Arabidopsis thaliana: one gene and its partner. The protein of the gene in region 1 interacts with the protein of each later gene in a pairwise test. Each region holds a gene or a part of one and is shown in the gene's direction. Other genes may lie near its edges. The genes, in order: CR88 and SQN.

Region 1 (6,849 bases):
CATATGGACTTAATTAATGTATATTTGGGCTTTGAATATTTGATATTAGTTTGCTTATTCTTTAGGCTAGGGTTTCCATTCTTTTTCTCTTATTTTAAGAGATGTAATTCATTATTGTAATTAGTTTTTGATTATTGAATAAACGAGTTTTAAGAGAGCTTGTCTAAAGCCTAGAGAGGAGGACTCTCAACCCTAAAAGCTTGTGTTCAAGCCCTGCAAGGAGGATTTGCAAAACCTCATCGATATCGTTATCGATCTCGACCTTATCTCTATTGCTTCTTCATCAAGTTTCGGCGTTCTAAACAAAATCCGTTCGTTAATCCGAGTTCTCATAGAGATTTTGTGTTTTCGTCCGTTATTTAGCTTCCGCTCTCCATCAGATATTACTTTTGTTCAGTAGACCATTCATAAATACCTGCCTTGGATCCAAAAATAGGACAAATAAACATCATTTGCATCATTTTATTATTCTTAAAAGAAATTGCAAATTTTTGACCAAATTGCAAATATTTTGTTTTTAGGTTATACCCAATACCCACATACTGTATTATAGTCGTAATAAAAAAAGGAAAAGTTGCAAAATAAGTAGAGGACAGTGAGAAGTTGGTAACTATATATGTTTTGGTTAATTTAGTTATGGGTATGGAGTCTATAACGTATGGTTTCGATATTTCCAATAATTAGCAATCGTGTATCTTCGTTAGCATCAACATTGTTGTATTTTATTTAGTGCACACCTTCTCATAATTTCTAAATCAATAAAATTTTAATATCATTTTATCTTGGTATATGTCACTATGTATGTGGTTATTTTTATGCTTCCATGTTTTTATTTTTTTTGCCATGGAACCATTAGCTTAGGTTGAAAATCATCGATTGTAAACCTATCATGTTTTCATTTTTATGAAATATTAGGTGATCATCCGCGCTACACCACGGTTTTTTCGGATGTTTTTGTATTGTTTAATTTAAATATAATTTTTATTTATCTTATCATTTACTCATGCAATAAGCAATTACATTTAGTATTAAAATATTTTTTTCTAACCACATTCTCAACAATGCATCATACACATAATTTCTAAACAATGTTTATCTTAAACCAATTTAACAGAGGGTAGTGTTGGATTCTATAAACCTAAGAATTTAATGATGGAGCTCCTTACATATTCTTCACCCTCAGTTATTTATTATATAAATATCAATTTAAGAGAATATAAACATCAATTTAAGAGAATATAAACATCAATTTAAGAGAATAACTTAGTTAAATTATTAAGTAATATACTCATACTTTGAGTTTGGATTACCATAAAAATCTTCGAGTATGAGAAAACTATTAAAATGATTTTATTAAAAAATCATGTGATATTAAAATAAATTTAGTAAAAGTACAATTAAATATGTATAATAAAATAATATGTAAAATTAAATATAAATATATCATTAAACTATAGATTTGAAATTGAAGAGATTACATTAATTATTTAATAAACACATGTCAAATGCTAAAGTGATGATGTGTCTATCATATGAAGAGAGTTGGCCAACTTTCATATATATAATTTACGAAAAAAAAAAAAAAAAACAAATATTCAAGATCTCTTTCTTGATATGGGCCAATTTGATACGAAACATTTTCCAGCCATAACCTTTCGTTTTACTTTATACGGGCTATAGGCCCATTATGGGTTAACGTGTAGGCCCAATAAGGTGTTTTTTCAATTTGGTTTGCATTTGGTGTGTGTGTGTGTGTCAGCTACAATTTCTCAAGGAGAGGCGCGTGTAAATCAAACGGATAATCCTACGGTTTTGATGAAATGGCTTCTCGTAGACCTCACAATCTCTAAACATCTCTTCTCTTTATACGCTCTTCTTCTAGAAACCTCTCTTACCTCACTCTCCTTAAACCTTTAATAGGGTTTTTAGGTTACTCTTTGTTCAACTACTACAAACTCTTTTCTCTTTAGAGATTGAGAGATTGTAAAAAAATCTCAAATCTTTTCCTTCACAACTTTCAAATCTAATGGCTCCTGCTTTGAGTAGAAGTCTCTACACATCTCCTTTGACTTCAGTTCCAATCACTCCTGTCTCTTCTCGTCTCTCTCATCTGAGAAGCTCGTTTCTCCCACACGGCGGCGCTTTAAGAACCGGCGTTTCGTGTAGCTGGAATCTCGAAAAGAGATGTAACCGATTCGCCGTGAAGTGTGACGCCGCCGTGGCGGAGAAAGAGACCACTGAAGAAGGGTCAGGTGAGAAGTTTGAGTACCAAGCTGAGGTGGGTTCTCTTTCATATCTCCTAAAGTTTCAATCTTGTTTTCTGGGTATCTCTCAACTTGATGGGGATATAAAGTTTTAAGATTTGATTGTTGAAATCTTATCACAGGTTAGTAGATTGTTGGATTTGATTGTTCATAGCTTATACAGTCACAAGGAGGTGTTTCTCAGGGAGCTTGTAAGGTGAGTCAATTTTGATGGATTGTTTTGGAAATGATTTGTGTGTTTCTGTCAAAATCTGATTTTGAATGTGTCTGTGTATGTTCAGTAATGCAAGTGATGCTTTGGATAAGCTGAGGTTCTTGAGTGTAACAGAGCCTTCTTTGCTTGGAGATGGTGGAGATCTTGAGATTAGGATTAAGCCTGATCCTGATAACGGCACCATCACCATAACGTATGAGAGACTTCTCATTTTTTGTTTTACTTAAGTATTGAAAATTGAATAGAACAGGTTTACTTAGAGAGGTTTGATGCGTATATGCAGTGATACTGGTATTGGAATGACAAAGGAAGAACTTATTGATTGCCTTGGAACTATTGCTCAAAGTGGTACTTCGAAATTCTTGAAGGCTCTAAAGGTTTTTTTTCCATCTCTTTGAAAACCTGTTGCTAGCAAATCTTTGATGTCATGTTTTCGGACTCATTGTTTTATTGCTCTCTTTATTCAGGAAAACAAGGACCTTGGTGCTGACAACGGTTTGATCGGACAGTTTGGTGTTGGGTTTTACTCTGCTTTCTTAGTTGCTGAGAAGGTGAAGACTTTCAACTTTTGTTTTTTAGTGTCTTCTGGTTAATGTATTTCTTACGAGGAATGGACGTACAATTGTCTTTGCTTTCAGGTTGTTGTGTCCACCAAAAGCCCCAAATCTGACAAGCAATATGTTTGGGAATCGGTTGCCGATAGTAGCTCGTATCTGATCAGAGAAGAAACAGACCCTGATAACATTCTACGTCGTGGAACACAAATCACCTTGTATCTGAGGGTACTTTTCTTTATTCATTCATCCTTTCATTTGATGCGTCAGATCTCTTATAGTTTGTTTGACTGCTTATTCCTGGCTGCAGGAGGATGATAAATACGAATTTGCGGAGTCTACAAGGATCAAGAACCTCGTGAAGAATTACTCTCAGTTCGTTGGGTTTCCTATCTATACATGGCAGGAGAAATCAAGGACTATAGAGGTGAGGATGAAAGTTTTGTTTTTGTAATCATATTAGTGTATTCACATTGCTAATATGGTTTAAAATTTGTAACTTGTGGTAGGTCGAAGAGGACGAACCAGTTAAGGAAGGAGAAGAGGTAAAAAAATTATGTTGTTTTAATTGTGTGTATCAACTATCAAACAGTCACAACCAAAAGACTGTTCTAGAATTTTGTTTACTGAGTTGATTTTGTTACTTGTTTGTTTCCAGGGTGAGCCAAAGAAAAAGAAGACCACTAAAACTGAGAAGTATTGGGATTGGGAACTAGCCAACGAGACCAAACCGCTATGGGTAAGCCTTGGAGCTTTAGCCTGCGTTTTGTACTTTTCTTTCAACATGTTTACTGATTATTTTGTGTCTTTGAATAGATGCGCAATTCGAAGGAAGTGGAAAAAGGAGAGTACAATGAGTTCTACAAAAAGGCTTTCAATGAGTTCTTGGATCCACTTGCTCACACACACTTCACAACTGAGGTCTTTATACTTATACACTATACACTATATTTATGTCAATTTATGAATTCTTCAATTGGTGCTTACTAGTCTCTGTATTGTCTTGATTATTAAAGGGTGAGGTTGAGTTCAGGAGCATTTTGTACATCCCTGGGATGGGTCCTCTTAACAATGAAGATGTTACAAACCCGAAAACAAAGAACATTCGTCTCTACGTGAAGCGTGTGTTTATCTCTGACGATTTTGATGGAGAGCTTGTGAGTCTTTTATGGGTTCTTTCTTATGTAGAAATCTCTTTAGATTTGTGGTTCAATTTTTATCTGACTATGTTACCTAATCTGTTTGCAGTTCCCGAGATATCTGAGCTTTGTGAAGGGAGTTGTGGACTCTGATGATCTTCCTCTTAATGTTTCTCGTGAAATTCTCCAAGAAAGCAGAATTGTGAGTGGTGCAACTGTTAGTGATACAAATGTTTATCATATATGAATATCACAAATTGTAACTGTACTATCTTTCGTGATAATGTTCAGGTAAGAATCATGAGAAAGAGGCTCATTAGAAAAACCTTTGACATGATACAAGAAATCTCTGAGAGTGAAAACAAAGAGGTAGGTATCTCATTATCCTAATTTTGTTTTGAGCTCATTTGAAAGCCAGGGATATTCATGTTGTACAAACAATTCTAGGATTACAAGAAATTCTGGGAGAACTTTGGTAGATTCCTTAAATTGGGTTGTATTGAAGACACCGGTAACCACAAGCGTATCACACCGCTACTTAGATTCTTCAGTTCCAAGAATGAAGAGGAATTGACAAGCTTGGATGATTATATCGAGAACATGGGAGAGAACCAAAAGGCGATCTACTACCTCGCAACTGATAGTCTTAAAAGTGCCAAGTCTGCCCCTTTCTTGGAGAAACTAATCCAAAAAGATATCGAGGTATATGCTTCAAGACTTGTTTTTCAACTTCGAGTTTCTGTTTAGATTTGACTTTCTCACCACTTGCTTTTGTTAATTATAGGTTCTATATTTGGTTGAACCAATCGATGAAGTTGCTATTCAGAATTTGCAAACCTACAAAGAAAAGAAATTCGTTGATATCAGTAAAGAAGATTTGGAACTCGGTAAGTATGGTTTAGCACTGCTGACTGCCCGCACATTTCTCTCAACCATTTGTTTGTAACAAAACGTGTCCATTCTCGCAGGAGATGAAGATGAAGTAAAGGACAGGGAAGCGAAACAAGAGTTTAACCTTCTCTGTGACTGGATAAAACAGCAGCTCGGTGACAAAGTTGCAAAAGTCCAAGTCTCAAACCGTTTGAGCTCTTCTCCTTGTGTGCTTGTCTCTGGCAAATTCGGGTGGTCAGCTAATATGGAAAGGTTAGTACTTCAGCAAAAGCTTTATAACCTGAAATCCACATACCATAAAACTTATGTGCTTGTTCATTGACTTATGTGCTTATTCATTGTGAAAGGCTAATGAAGGCACAGGCTCTTGGAGACACTTCAAGCCTGGAGTTCATGAGAGGTAGGAGAATACTAGAGATCAATCCAGATCATCCCATCATCAAAGACTTGAACGTAAGTGTGTGGTATAATATTCTCTCAGAAATCTCTTGTCTCGAAAAAGCCTTATTAATTTTTGTATTCTTTTGGTACAGGCTGCTTGTAAGAATGCACCAGAGAGCACTGAAGCAACAAGAGTGGTCGATCTCTTGTATGACACTGCTATAATATCAAGTGGATTCACTGTAAGAAATCTGAAACCTTTCTTGTTTCCCAGTAAAAGTCTTGGACCATTTTACTCACTTATATGTGTTTGTTGTACAGCCTGATAGCCCGGCCGAGCTCGGGAACAAGATATATGAGATGATGGCAATGGCGGTTGGAGGAAGATGGGGCAGAGTTGAAGAAGAAGAAGAAAGCTCGACTGTGAATGAAGGAGATGACAAAAGCGGAGAAACAGAGGTAGTTGAACCATCTGAAGTGAGGGCAGAGAGTGATCCTTGGCAAGATTGATCCTTTTTTACCTTCTTTTGTTTGCAGTGATTTTTTTTTGACAGAACGCTTTATCTTTCCATTAGCAGTATCATGGGCCTAATGAAAGCCCATAATTAAATCACGCGTGAACGAGATTTATCCAATACAGTATTTGTAGTTTTTTTTTGATAATTAAAATAATTTTAGAGAATTTACACAAAAAAAGCTTTTAACAAAAATATTTACGAATATTTGAAAAATATTTGCATTTGAGTTGTATTAAATATTCTGAATTTACATCCTCTTATTATTAAAAAGAAAATACAAATTGAAAAATAGTCTAATCTGCCATCAATTTTCAATTTTGGATTTTGTACATTATTAATCAAAATCGTCTATGGTAATTTGGTCATCACTCTATATTCCTTAAATACACTATATTTCAAATTTAAATAATATTTCTTAAACACACTATATTCAATACTTATCACCTATTTATTGTTTTTTCAAAGATTTAAAAAAACTAAATATAAAAAATCAATCTAAAATAAACCAAAAATATAGTTATTAATTTTACATATTTTTTATTAAAAATATTATGTTGGCAAACAATATTAAGAGCTCGCGAATTAATTAGTGGAGCGGATTAGAATTTACAATAATTCATAATTATGCATATGGAATAAATTATATTTAAAAATCAATATTCGATATATCAAAATATGGTACAATCACACATTTTCCGGATATTATTTAAACTAATAATCTTAACGGTCCATTAAAACTTTCCAAATCAAAATGATTTCCAAATCAATCATTTGATGGAAAATTTCTTGGTCAAAATTTAAATCAAATACCGACCTGCAATAATGGGTTAGAATTTGTATTTATTTGATAGAGAATGAGTAAAATGGAATTGTTAATGACCTTGGACA
Region 2 (5,894 bases), 5.6 Mb from region 1:
ATGTCAGTCCATCTCAAAAAAGGCCGCCTTCTTGCTTCATCTCTGAACATCCTAGCGATGACTCCCTGTTTCAGCATTTTTGCTTTCCCACTCTTAGCATGGTGATGCTTATCAACATAAGTTTATACTCTCCATATACCTGAACGCTTATGAGTGGAGCAGTATATCTTCCACTCACAATTTTCATGGCTGCAGATTGCTGCCAACTTATTTGCACCCCATCTACACAACTTCACATCATAATTCATCTTCAATACATACCGCAAGAGTTGATCCTTAACCTCTTAACCACTATTGAAAGTCTGCAACATCCAAATGTATGGAGGTTTATCCTTCGAAAACTTCTGTCGAGATGATGATCTTTCTGCTTGGTCATACGCATCCCATTCATCATCTGTGTCCATTGCATGATCCGGACGCTCTACATCATAACACTGTCTCTCAAATTCATCTTCATCTTCAACCTCTTCAGCAACGGTTTCTTCTGGTACTGTGTTAATGTCTTCAGCTGCAGCATCATCAACAACATCATCTGCAGCTTCTGTACCATTGTGAATTTCGTCAAAGAAAGCCTCAAACCGAGGATCATCGTGCCTTCTTTCTTCTACTGGATCTTCTCCATTAGCTTGTACTCTTTCAGGGCACTCATTAGTTTCTGCTGCAGGCTCCTCGTCTATGATATCTTCGGCATCATCATCCTCAACTCCAAGTTCCTCGTCTTCTACAACATCATTTGGAAGCGGAAAAGCTGCAGGTACAGAGACGGCATTGACGATGTATATGTCAACTTCCCCACCAATCATCGCCTCACGACATAACTCCCTTATCCCACCATCTTTGTCGGCACCGATAACTCTTGCTGAATAGATTTCCTCTTCTGGAAGCTTGTACCAAATCGATTCGACTTCACCATTGACTCCATTTTCTTTGCAAGAATCGTCGAATATAGACCATGTCATCAGATCAGGATCCATCACCATGTCTTTCGCCTCGACCCCTCCAGAGTAATCGAACCCTTGGTCCGTGAAGGATACATCGCCTCTATAGTTTATGTTGAGTTTCAAACACTCGAAATCACTGGAAAATAGAAATTAACCGATTAGTAGTGGTAAACAAACTATAACCTAACTGATTCATAACCCCTAACCCAATTTCAAACAAACCCAGAAAATTTCAAACTTAAGAACCCTAAAAATTCAAATCGACAGACCCACAACACACAAATCGACATACCTCATCTTTTCGACTGTTTACCAACTGGATCGAACGCAGATATACCCGATCAAACGCTTCGAATCATCGCCTCTTTCAATTTCTAAGTTTTTTGGAGAGAAATTAGAAATTTGGGGAGTTAGGGTTTCTCAATCCCAAATCGATTTGGGGGAAAACAAATGAGGGTACTGTAGTCTTTTAGTTAGTCAATTAAACCGCGGATTGTTAACCATTAACCCCGGTTTAGTGATTCCGTCAGCCAAATTAACGTCTGTTAACGCGCATGAATGATTTAACCACGAACAATTAAATAGTGTTTTTCTTGAACAAAATTTAATATTTTGGAACTTTAGGTTCCAATCAAAAACAATTGGGTATTAAAGTTTTAAATAAAAAATAGTTGGGTTTTTTTTAGATTTTTTCCCTAAAAAAAAAGAATAATATTTTGCAAAAAAATTAAATAATTTTTAAGAAAAAGAAATAATAAAACCAAATATTTATTGTGTAGTGGCCATAGTGGGCAATCACCTACTATCCACTCTTATGGAATGTACCCGAAGGGACGAGTAATAAATTTCTTATTTTTTAATTTTGGCAGCAAGTAATAAATAAATTAATTAAAAGTTAAAAATAAATAAAAAGAGACAAAATTTGTTGGAGGAAGAAAGTGGGTCCTAGGGTTTTCTTCTATCTGTCGTTTTGATTTCTGCGTTTAATAAGAGACAAGTCCCCGTCTACAGTCTTTTAGAGACGGAAGCTACTGAGACAGAGATTCACACCATTGTTCTTTGTCTCTTCCTCTGATTCTTTCTCTCTCTCTCTCTCTCTCTCTCTCTCTCTCTCTCTCTCTCTCTCTCTCTCTCTCTCTCTCTCTCTCTCTCTCTCTCTGTCTCGTCTTTGTTTCGGTTTCAAGAAAGCAAGAGGAAGAAGAAGAAGAAGAAGATGGGTAGGTCAAAGTGTTTCATGGACATTAGCATTGGAGGTGAGCTTGAAGGAAGGATTGTTATTGAGCTTTACGATGATGTTGTTCCCAAAACCGCTGAGAATTTTCGATTACTCTGTACCGGTGAGAAGGGTTTAGGTCCAAATACTGGTGTACCTCTCCATTACAAGGTTCTCTCTTTCTCTCTATATCTTTGTTTATACTCTCTTATGTATGAAATGTAGAAATGGGTATTTGTTGTTTCTGTGATTTAGGGTTTGTGGTTTAATGGGTCATTCGTCATTGGGGTTTATAAAGATCAAAACTTGGTTAAATTTGCAATTAGTTGTGAAAGAAAGATCAAAACTTTAGGATGCAATTGTACTATAGAATGGTTCTGAATGCTTATGATTTGAGGTTTAATGGGTTTTTGCTCGTATTGCTGAATAGCTTCTGACTTTGTTTCAGTATTGCAATTAGGTTACTGTAGTTTGTAGTGGTGAGGTAAAGATCAAAACTTTAGGTTGAAATTGTACTATAGGATGATGTACTTATGGTATTTGGTGTATTTGTTTACAGGGGAATCGATTTCATCGTGTTATCAAGGGGTTTATGATACAAGGTGGGGATATATCAGCTAATGATGGTACTGGTGGTGAGTCTATCTATGGCTTGAAGTTTGACGATGAGAATTTTGAGCTGAAACATGAGAGGAAAGGGATGCTCTCTATGGCTAACTCTGGTCCCAACACTAATGGCTCTCAGTTTTTCATTACGACAACTCGCACTTCTCATTTAGATGGGAAACATGTTGTGTTTGGAAGGGTTACGAAAGGAATGGGTGTTGTTCGGTCGATTGAGCATGTTAGCATAGAGGAACAGTCTTGTCCTTCTCAGGATGTTGTGATCCATGACTGTGGAGAAATCCCTGAGGGTGCAGATGATGGGATTTGTGACTTTTTCAAGGATGGTGATGTGTACCCTGACTGGCCTATTGATCTGAATGAAAGCCCAGCTGAGTTATCTTGGTGGATGGAGACTGTTGATTTTGTCAAGGCTCATGGGAATGAGCACTTTAAGGTGCTTTTTCCATTGTTTTAAATTGAATATATACGTTTGTCTGTTCCATATTTTCATTTCTGTGAGTCTGATCTGTTTTTGACCTTGATTTACTCTCAGAAACAAGACTATAAGATGGCTCTTAGAAAGTACCGTAAGGCTTTACGCTATCTGGATATTTGCTGGGAGAAAGAGGGCATTGATGAAGGTGGTTTATCAGTTTTTCTCTCTATATATGTTTCCACTTACTTCATCTCAAAAAATATTTATACTATCCATACCAATGTTCCCACTCACTCTCTACTTGGGATCTTGTAGAGACGAGTACTGCCTTGCGTAAGACAAAGTCGCAGATCTTCACTAATAGTGCTGTAAGTTCATCATGCTTTTACACCTTTTTTAAAGCTACATACATCCTTGTTGATATCTTTTCTTGTAAGTTGAACATATCTACCTTATATGTGTGTGTGCTTTACGTACCATCTGAAGATTGATTGTCTTTGGAGTCGTTGATTTTTCCAAAAGAACTTAAATTTCTTACTCTGTTGGGTTTTTAACATTACAATTTTTTTTGTTGAATCTGCTTAATTCTTACGGATGAGCTGTACCGTCGATAGAATGATAAGCAATTGATTGTGAACTAAAAATTAATTTGAAGTGCTCTACACTGCAGACCTGTCATTTATGTTGGTTTCTGCTGTTTGATTAATTTCTTGGGAAAAAGTAGGGTAGGTTGACCTTGACATAAGCAGGATAATATTCTCTGAGATTATGCTTGTGGGACATACATTGCTCATATGAATTATTGTTTGCATCTCTGTTTACGTTGCCAGTGTTTTCACTTGTCCAACTTAATTGCTTTGTTGTGCCTGTATAACCGATTTTTTTTTACTATGTTATCTCATTGTATTGTAACTGGCTGTTGTGGCAGGCCTGCAAACTCAAATTCGGAGATGCAAAAGGAGCGTTGTTGGACACTGAATTTGCTATGCGTGATGAAGATAACAATGTTAAAGCATTGTTTCGACAAGGCCAGGTACTTAAAAACTTATTGTTTGACAGTTTTCTAGAACCTAGACCACAATAACGAAAATTCTAGATTTCTCATGAGAGGAAGATGGTGTCTATTTCTTATCTGCGTTTGTTTATAATGTTAGGCATACATGGCTCTTAATAACGTCGATGCTGCTGCTGAAAGCCTTGAGAAAGCTCTTCAATTCGAACCTAATGACGGTGAGTGATTCATCAAGCTTCTATTAGTTGTGGTTTGACAAGTTTGGTTCATCATTATCAATGTATGAACATAGTACAACACACTTAAATATATTACGAGAGAAATCTAACTAGCATTTATTTCTGTGAGTTGATTTTTCAGCTGGTATCAAGAAAGAATATGCTGCTGTTATGAAAAAGGTCGGTATGCGGATAAAGAACACAAGTTCTTTTTGCAGTTACTTTACTTCTAGTATAAAATCTTAGAGCTGACGTTAATAACCATGTGTTGCAGATTGCCTTTAGAGACAACGAAGAGAAAAAGCAGTACCGCAAAATGTTCGTATAGGGGGGGGGGGGGGTGCTCTGCTTCATTTAGGGTAAGCCTAAGATTTGTTGTTAATCTCAGAAAACTGACCTAGTGTAAGCTTTATGTCAACTAATTTAACTCTCAGGGTTTTTGATGTTGTCTATGTAGGTTTGGTCGGATAGTGAGGAAGAAGACTAACAAAAAGTGAAAAGAAGCATATAAAGAAAGAAAAAACATTCAAAAAAGGACTTTGGGAATTGTTTCTATTTCCCTCATTTTGGTAAACATGTTTTTACTTTTGCATCATGGCAAAGACTGATGCATAGTAATATCGACTGGGAAATTGTTTTTACCCAAAGGATAGATTCAGTGCTTGAGACTGTTAATGAAATTTTGAGTTACTTGGCCACTCTGAGTTCTTTGCTTTCTTCCACGATTTTTTTCACGTTTGCTTGAATCAGCAAGTGGGCACTACAATGCTAGGGAATTTTGGTTTCCGCAGCATGCATATATGCTTACAAAAAATCCATTGGGAACTGTTTCTATTTCCCTCCTTATGAAATAAAATCAAATACGATTATTTTTTTTTGCGAAAACAATACTTTCTTCTGTTTCTAAATGATTGATTTTCTAGAAAAAGAATTGTTTCTAAAAGATTGATTTTTAAAGTTTTTCATGTGATATTAATTGGTTAGTATTGTGAACTGTAATTTCCAAGAAAAATAGTTAATTATCATTGGTTTAGAGTTATAGAAAACTATAAAATAATAAAATAATATATTTATATTGTTTTCTTAATATGTGTGTTTTGCTAAAAATCAATCTTTAACTTAATAGAGCAGGTAGAACTGAAACAGTTTTATACTAATAAGTGTAGACCAACGACAATCACAAATTACAGCGACCGTCTCGGAGGACCTCCACCATTCTGACAACCACCGCCGCGACCACCTTTACCGCGTTGACTACATGATGCTGATACTGGTATTAGCTTCCTTCTCTCTGCTATTTTATTTATAATAAAAAAGAAAACTCACAATTTATTAAATGCTAACTAAAATTAATCTACTGATTTAATGAAAATACTCTAAATAGTGTAGGGTCCTTTTTATTGTTGATCCAAACTGAACCAAAATCGAAATTGTATCAAACAAATGAACTGATTTGCTTTCATTTTTT

What was found.
Region 2: the proteins of CR88 (region 1) and SQN interact in a two-hybrid assay, tested with the Arabidopsis thaliana proteins (one study listed by BioGRID).

What each region holds. Positions count from the first base shown.
Region 1 is NC_003071.7:1,279,957-1,286,805, forward strand, and holds CR88 (Chaperone protein htpG family protein), read left to right. Parts: upstream 1-1,797; 5' UTR 1,798-2,026; coding exon 2,027-2,278; intron 2,279-2,386; coding exon 2,387-2,460; intron 2,461-2,545; coding exon 2,546-2,671; intron 2,672-2,761; coding exon 2,762-2,855; intron 2,856-2,945; coding exon 2,946-3,029; intron 3,030-3,116; coding exon 3,117-3,260; intron 3,261-3,342; coding exon 3,343-3,459; intron 3,460-3,541; coding exon 3,542-3,577; intron 3,578-3,690; coding exon 3,691-3,771; intron 3,772-3,848; coding exon 3,849-3,953; intron 3,954-4,048; coding exon 4,049-4,189; intron 4,190-4,280; coding exon 4,281-4,373; intron 4,374-4,462; coding exon 4,463-4,540; intron 4,541-4,618; coding exon 4,619-4,873; intron 4,874-4,955; coding exon 4,956-5,058; intron 5,059-5,139; coding exon 5,140-5,314; intron 5,315-5,409; coding exon 5,410-5,515; intron 5,516-5,595; coding exon 5,596-5,685; intron 5,686-5,764; coding exon 5,765-5,953; 3' UTR 5,954-6,188; and 1 more. UniProt on the Arabidopsis thaliana protein: Molecular chaperone required for chloroplast biogenesis. Essential for chloroplast biogenesis and maintenance, and thus for embryogenesis. May be involved in the disassembly of VIPP1 for thylakoid membrane formation and/or maintenance.
Region 2 is NC_003071.7:6,877,004-6,882,897, reverse strand, and holds SQN (peptidyl-prolyl cis-trans isomerase / cyclophilin-40 (CYP40) / rotamase), read left to right. Parts: upstream 1-1,999; 5' UTR 2,000-2,154; coding exon 2,155-2,325; intron 2,326-2,713; coding exon 2,714-3,214; intron 3,215-3,313; coding exon 3,314-3,401; intron 3,402-3,511; coding exon 3,512-3,564; intron 3,565-4,124; coding exon 4,125-4,229; intron 4,230-4,350; coding exon 4,351-4,426; intron 4,427-4,568; coding exon 4,569-4,606; intron 4,607-4,700; coding exon 4,701-4,754; 3' UTR 4,755-4,785; intron 4,786-4,883; 3' UTR 4,884-5,124; downstream 5,125-5,894. UniProt on the Arabidopsis thaliana protein: PPIases accelerate the folding of proteins. It catalyzes the cis-trans isomerization of proline imidic peptide bonds in oligopeptides.